2 linked regions of the Alligator mississippiensis genome follow. The protein of the gene in region 1 interacts with the protein of each later gene in a biochemical or structural test. Links are inferred from orthologs where the notes say so. Each region holds a gene or a part of one and is shown on either strand. Other genes may lie near its edges.

Region 1 (3,746 bases):
AAGAAACTGCCTTATGCACTTCCTTAGCACAAAGAGGGACTGCCTGTCCAGTTGACTGTGTTCTCTGCCCTACTATGTCTTATATACCCAGCTAGGGCCATGATCCAGTCAACAGTCAGTGTGCTAAGCTGCACTGCAGAGAACACCTCCTAAAGGTGCCAAGTTCCAGATGCAACATTGCATATCAATTATTTAATGAGCCAATATGCATATATGCCAATTATTGCATATTGACATATGCCTCTGTTTAAAAGCTGTGCAGACTTCGTGCTGGCATAGCGACAGCAAGATAAAAGAAAAGAAAAAAGTTGCATATCTTTACACTCAGTCTCCTGTAATCAGAGTTAAGGTTGTTTGCCTAGCATCAGAGTTATGCTGTGCCTAGCATGTGTGGATTTCTTTAAATCATCGAAGCCAGAGAGAAGAAGGTGGCAAATTGTCAGGGCTTGCTTGGCCCAGAGGTACGGTTGGGTGGGCAGAGAGGCCAGATTTGCTCTGGAAGAACTTGTACAAGAAGATGTAACAAGACATGGGCAGGACCTAGCAGTGTGAGTCTGAAGAGAAGGCCTTTGGGCACAGCCCCAGAGAGCAGTACAAGTTTGAAACCAGTGGGGTACAAGAGATGTTTAGGTTTAAAGTGAATTTCCTTCTAGAAGCTATTAAAGTTAAAGTGCTTTGTCCTTTCTATAGCTCTGAAAACCATTTATAGATTTCAGTGACAGGGACAGAACTCTGCATTATGTTAAGATGACCCAAGGACAGATTTAGAGAGGCCATCACTCTGGGATGTTCTATAGGACTTCTCCATAAGGATGAGATGAGGCGTCTCTTTCTCCTTGCCATATCCCAGCTTTGTTCAAGCTCTGAGACACACCGTCCAGAAGGATTTGCTTATGGCCAGGGTGGATTGATTGTCACTCTGGAGACAGATTCCTGCATCCTATAGCAGTGAAGAGGACTAAAGAGACATCCCCTTTCTTCCACCTGCAAAATCTGCCTGCTTAGTTGACCCTCTTTTTTTTGTCCCACTCTCAGTCAGAATGAGAAACTGAGGCAACTCACTGCAGAAAAGAATCCAGACTCTCAGACAGTAATGTCCCAAAGTAATTTAGAATCCAGCAAACCTGGCCAAAGCTTTCGAGGAATTAGAGGGAAATGGGGAAGGGAGGGAGTTGATTTCTGAACCATATTTTTGGCTGATTTACAAGGCATTTGTTCTATGCCCTGGAAGTAGGGAGTGATGCATATTGACAGCTACCTGCCCTACCATAAGGCATTACTTCACGCGCACCAAATGGCTAATGTTTAACTAACAGGTTTGGTAAAACAAGCCTGTTAGAATCCTCTCCCCAAGGGAAGGTCTGAAAAACAGAGACAGCCTCTGGCCGCAAAACTGTGAACCTGCTCTTTCATTTCTTTCCATGCCTCCTGTTCCAGGTCACAGCCATCCCCTCATCTTCAGTTTTACATAATACTGCACCTTACTGCATTATGAAGCCCTTGTCCCCCTAGCACCCATCAAAACAACCATCTGGTTTCTGCTTTTGCCAGCTGTTTAATTTTCTTGTTATATGCCTTCCTTTATGATTATAAACCAGACCTATTTTGCTAGATGCATAAAGTAGTTTGACATTTATTTCAGGAATTATGCTACACATCAAACAAATATCATTAAAATACCATGCACATAGATTGTCATTCCTGAATTTCAATATGAAAACAGATCTCTCTTCTGCTATACAGGGTGAGGCTGACACAACCCTGCAGTAACATATAATAAAGGAGAGCAAAAATGCATAAATGCACAGAGGCAATTTATGCTGATGGCTAGAGCTAGTCCAGAATTCACAATAGTTGGCAAAGAACCATGATGCAATCCAATTCTAGCCTAAAAAGAAATCCTTAAACAATCAATTATATATCATCTTGGAGAAAAAACAGATTCAAATTTGATTATTTCTGATTGAAACACTTGTAAAATACCGTTTAGATACAGTCTCGAATACATCAACACGACTATAAACTTAAAAAATAAAAATGCTCAGTAATAGACTCTACCTTTTTAAGCAAGTGGCCGGCAATGCAGCAAGTCCCTTGCACATTTTGCTATTGGAGTTCTTGTCCCAATTCCAGAAAAGAGTACAAGAGGAGGCTGAGGCTGTGTCCGGGTTTTTACCTGCTGCGCTATTTGCTTAGAATTCTCAGTGCTTCTGTTTTCTAAGCCTGCTGGCTCCAGCATGGGTCTGTTTTATAGTCTAGACCAAAGAGTCCAGCATCATTTTTCCAGCCAGTCAGAAATCAGCACAGCAGCAGCAGCCACCCCCTCCTTGCCTACACAACAGGAAAAGAGGAAGAGACTGACGTATGAATCAGGACAAAAAAGATACAATGAAAAAGAAAACCTTACCAGAAATGACAGATCACAGTTGACATGCAGATTTGGAATCTCTGGATAGAGTGGAAAAAAAATATTGTGAGTTTCCTGCCTTGCATAAGATGGGCTGTTTCTTTCAATCTATTAGGGAAAGGGGAAGGGAGGATTGGGAAAAGGTGACCGAGAAAAGGGAGAGTAAATTTGTGAGTTACTTAATTTCATTTTCCCCTTACATTTAAGATAAATCTAAACAGTGGGCAACATCTTTGAGTTAGATGACTGAATAAATGTCTTCTGTCCCCAGAGAATCAGCATAGACAGTAACTTGCAAAAATTAGAGGCCCAGGGGAAATAAAGAAATACATTACATAGGCCACGGCTACATAGGTGGCAGTGCGCAGTAACCAGCATTACTATGCAATACCGTCCCTGCACTTTTAAACTTTTTTTTTTACACTATGGTGCAGTAGCAATGAGCTTGTTACTACTTTGCCATACCATTGCCATCATGGTTCATGCCTGGCAACACTATGGTGCAGTGGTAACGAGCTACTGTGCCATAGCTCGTTGCTACTGTGCCATAGCATCTCATGTAGACACCCCCATAGAGCAGTGGGAGCCAACCTTTTTGGCAGGCATGCCAAAAATTAGACCCTCATTGTTCCTGAGGCATTGGACTGGTGCTTTCCTTTACCTGATCTGCTGCTCTGCTTTCTGCTCCCTGCCCAGTGCTCCCTGAACAAGCTGCTGTTTGCTTCCCACTCTATCTGCCACTGTGCTGCCTGTTCCCTGCCTGCCAGCCTTCACATATCACACACACAGGCTGTTCGTATCACTTGTAGCACTCATACCACAAGTTGGCCACCCCTGCCCTAGAGAATATGAGGTGTTTCTTGAGTAAAATGGGATGAGAGTCTATGGGAAGACTGAAAAAACAAACCCCACGTGCCATGCCAGTACTGAGTACAGACCTTGCAAGGAAATGCTGCATCCATGAAGGTATATTCAAATGTATGTGCTCACACCTGAAAGCAAAAATGTTTGTGTATATTTATGCAAGAAAGGGAAGATAACGTCATGGCTACTGTTTCAAGTATGTGCAGGATTGAAATAATTCTTCATTTTCATGTTGAGTAGGCAGTATTCATAAATCACTGACAGGGTAACAAAGAAGCCAAGGCTATCTAAGGAAGGAAGCCTGTCTAAGCCCTTTTCTTTTAATACGAACAAAGGCATGAGATGAGATAGAGAAATATAATCATTAAAAAAATAATACTGAGCTCACATTAAGTGGTTTTGGGGGCAAAAATGGACTTGATCTGGACCAGTAGGTGAATCCTAGGATGGTATTATAGGACTGCAATGATTTAAT
Region 2 (3,746 bases), on another chromosome or scaffold:
TATGAATTGCTGAGATTTGGCACAGCCCTTTGGGACTTTTTTTTTTCCTCTGTTAAAATATATATATATATTCCACTCACTCACTTGACGTGACACCTTTTTTTAACAGACACTGGGGCTGGAGGGGAAGAGATGAAGTGAAGGGTCACGGCCTGTTCCTAGAGGAAATTAATGGGGAATTTCCCCTCCCTTCAGCAGGGGCAGGGGGATCAAGCCCTCCCTAAACAGCTCCATTGACTGATGCTAGTGGAGAGCCCCAGATTGCCGAGCGCTTCCGAGCTCATTCGGCTATTTCCGAGGCTGCTCGGTCTTTACCGACAGCTCCCGAAGCGTCTCCGAACGTAGCCGAGCGGGCAGCCGGCAGCCCCCGAGCGCAGCCGAGCGCTCCTGATCTCCCAGCCCCGATCGCAGCCCCAGGCTGGGCTGGGCGCTGTCCACCACCTGAACCTCCTGAAATCTCCTCCCTTCCGCGGCACAGGGCCCGGCAGCCGCCTCCCCAGCCCGGCCAGCATCTCAATCCCCGCTCCGGGGATGGATGCTCACAGCCCTTCCTCTCTGCAGAGGGGATCTGCTCCCGAGGGCCCTGCGAGGGCAGTGCTGCAGCTCCCCGCCCTCCACACCCAGTTCCGGGCCGGGATCTCTTTTCAACATCACCCCTGGAAAACACACTCTCTCTCTCTCTCTTCTTTCCCGGAGAAAAATAAAGGCACGGGGAGGCCATCGCCCTGCCACCCTGGGGACCGCTCCGCCATGGCGCCGCCAGGAAGAGGCTGGTCGTGTCTGCTCCAGTGCAAGGCTGGGATCCACCCCCCCCCCCCCGGGCACACACAAGGTTTGGTGAAATGACACCCCCCAGAGCCGCCCACTTCCCTAGCCCCTGCCCTCCCCCCATCTGCTTTCCTAGGGGATGCAATGAGTGCAGCCAGCCAGGCTGGAGCTGAGCAGGAATATATATTTGTTGTTTATTGTACAGCAGCGCCTAATTAGCAAGCGTGAGTGTGGGTGTGCGTGTGCAAAGGGGCACGGCACAACCCCTGTGCAGTCCCACACCAGCCGGCTCCATCGCTCCTCACTTGCACCGTTGCAGCCTGGAGATTTCAAACACATAGCTCGCATCACACCAGAAATGGTGGATGGGAGGAAGGGGAAGCAAGAGCAGGCTCCCGAGGTGGCCTAGGAAGGAGCTGGTTTCCTCGGTGGGTTTTTGTTTGTTTTTGTTTTAATATCCCGGTTTAATTTTAATTGGTGACCCACGGCCAAATTCATCTCGAATTAATTAAGAAGAAAGGCTCAAATCTTGGGTAAAAGGGGCTTTGAGTGGCAGCGAGCTGCGCTTTAAATCCGCATTACAGACAGATTTAAAAAAAAAAAATTGCTAGAGAGCCAACCCCGGAGCCCATGTCAGGAGATCAAACACGTGTGTGTGTGTGTGTGTGTGTGTGTGTGTGTGTGTGTTGGGGGCGTGGGGGAGGAGTGCCGGAAGATAAAAACCTGACATTAAGTTTAATTGACAGCGGTACGTTTAATGGCACTGCCCTGGTTACATCTGTGCCATTTACATCATCTTGGAAACCCACCTCCCCCCTTTGCCCTCCCGGTGAGGCAAAGAAACCGCACGAGCTCCAGTTCAGCACCAAAGCCGTGAACAGCGGACGCCCGCCGGCCGGCTCGGCCCGAAGCCTTCCCTGCACAGCCGGAAAGCCACGCTCCAGCCGTGCCAGGCCCGGGGCATCCGCCGCCCCGAAGCAGCCCTCACACTTCCCCGAGAAACATGGCGGCCACAGCCATTCATACCGCCGAGCATCCCTCCCCGCCCGCGCCTGGCGCCCGCAAAAAAAAAAAAAAAAAAAAAAAGGCGGGGGGGGGGGGTGAGGGGGACGACGGGACACGGACCCCCTCCTTGCCCCTGGGGTCAGATCCAGGCTTTACATCAGTCAAACAAGCCCCCACCCCGAAGAGGCGAGGTGGGGGGGGGGACTTACTTCATCTGCTTCACAATGGTGCTTTTCCCAGATTCTCCAGCCCCTGTTGGGACAGACACAGAAAGGAAAAGAGCTGGTGAGTGGGAGAAAATAAGATCAAGGAGATTACCAAGAAGGGAGCAGCTGGGCTAATGGATGCGGGGTGGAGGTGGGGGGAGGCCGGAGGAGGCAGGGAGGGAGGAGGGGTCGCTCCCCGGCAGGCGCCCGGGGCCGCGGTGCGGGGCGGGGGCCCGGCTTACCCAGCAGCAGCAGCTTGACATCCTTGGCAGCGCTGATCCCGTCCTCCTTGAGGTTCTTCTCGATCGCTTTGCTCCTCTCCAAGGCTGCTCTTTCCTCCGCGCTCAAGGTACATCCCATGGTGGCCAAGCAACCTCGGCGGGCTCTGCTCCCCTCTCAGACGCTCCGCGGGCGGGGAAGGCAAAGAGGCGGACACGACCCACCCCCACGAGATCGGGAACCGCCGGCCGCCCCCCCGAGATAAGCAAACGTGCAGCCGCAGGCGCGGAGAGGACCCCCGGCGGGACCACAGCCCCCCGCGCCGGCCTTCCCCGGGCTAGCCGCAGGATCAACGCATCCGAGTCGAAGCCGGGCGGGTGCGGGGCTGCAGGCACCGGGGGCTGCGCGGGAGCTGAGCCGGGGAGGAGGAGGAGGCGGGTGGGGGGAGGGTGGGTCCTTGTCCTGCTGTTGCTGCTGCCGGCTGGGAGTCTCTAATGGGCGGCGGCGGCGGCGGCAATGGCTGCGAGCGATCGCATAGTCCGGCGGCTCCTAATGGAGAGAGCGCGGGGGGCGGAGGCGGGAGTGCGCCACGGCTCCCCAGCGCGCACAGGCTCGCCTGCCTCGCTGACGTCTGTCGCGCATGCGCCCGGCCCAGTCCTCAGCGGCACCGCCTTGGTGGAGCAGGCGGGGCGGGGCGGGGCGGGGCGAGGTTGCGGGGGCAGGGGGCCGTGCCCCGCGGACGGGCTGGGGCAGATTCTGGGGGTCTCCCTCATGCCCAGGATCCCGGGACTGCAGCCCGCTCCTTTTTGCAGCTCCCAACAGCAGTCTTTCCTGCCCAAGTGGAGGGGGCTGCACCCGATGAACTTGTGAGGTCCCTTTCAGCCCCTAGCATCTGTGGATCCCGCTGCTGCAGGCGAGGTGCAGTGAGAACCCAGCCCTGCCCTGCGCCCCTCCTGTCCAGTCCCAGGGTAGACGGGTCTCCCTGTGCCCCCTATGCCCAGCTGCAGGCAGTGGAAGGTGGGGGCGCTGAGGAAGGGTCCTACAGGGCAAGGGGATTTGGGACAGCAAGTTGCAGGGAGCCTCTAACTCCTCGAACACTACCCCAGCTAGGCGGTTGGCAGTTGGTTCAACTGCAGCTGCCACCCCAATAAATCCTTGCCTCTTCTCCGGTTGTGGTCACCTAACCATGTCTTTGTCCCTAACAGGCCTCTTCTGTTGCTGGGGGATGGGATCCATTGCTAACTTCCACCTTGCTGTGAAGAAGCAGGGTTTGCAGCCAAGGCTCAGGGACTCGGGAGGCCTGGGTCAGATTCCAAGCTGGGCCACAAACTTGTGCGACGCTGAGCCGGCCCATCTTCAAAGCAGGAAATCCCACTCTTCTTCCATCCTTTGCCTGTTTAGATTGTCCTTTCCTGGGGCCATGAACTGTTCCTTCGTTATGCAAAGGTATGGTCCCTGCCTTGGGTGGGGCCTCTGAGTGTTGTCATAATCTAAATAATAACTGCAAGTTCTTTCAGCACTACAGGCCCAGGATAATCCACTGGGAAA

What was found.
Region 2: the proteins of RGS4 (region 1) and GNAO1 form a complex in vitro, tested with the Homo sapiens proteins (2 studies listed by BioGRID). The link is inferred for Alligator mississippiensis from reciprocal best matches to the Homo sapiens genes RGS4 and GNAO1.

Annotation. Positions count from the first base shown.
Region 1 is NC_081828.1:40,944,256-40,948,001, forward strand, and holds the start of RGS4 (regulator of G-protein signaling 4), read right to left. Parts: upstream 2,227-3,746; 5' UTR 2,103-2,226; coding exon 2,059-2,102; intron 1-2,058. UniProt on the Homo sapiens protein: Inhibits signal transduction by increasing the GTPase activity of G protein alpha subunits thereby driving them into their inactive GDP-bound form. Activity on G(z)-alpha is inhibited by phosphorylation of the G-protein.
Region 2 is NC_081833.1:42,086,124-42,089,869, forward strand, and holds the start of GNAO1 (guanine nucleotide-binding protein G(o) subunit alpha), read right to left. Parts: upstream 2,799-3,746; 5' UTR 2,340-2,798; coding exon 2,222-2,339; intron 2,026-2,221; coding exon 1,983-2,025; intron 1-1,982. UniProt on the Homo sapiens protein: Guanine nucleotide-binding proteins (G proteins) function as transducers downstream of G protein-coupled receptors (GPCRs) in numerous signaling cascades.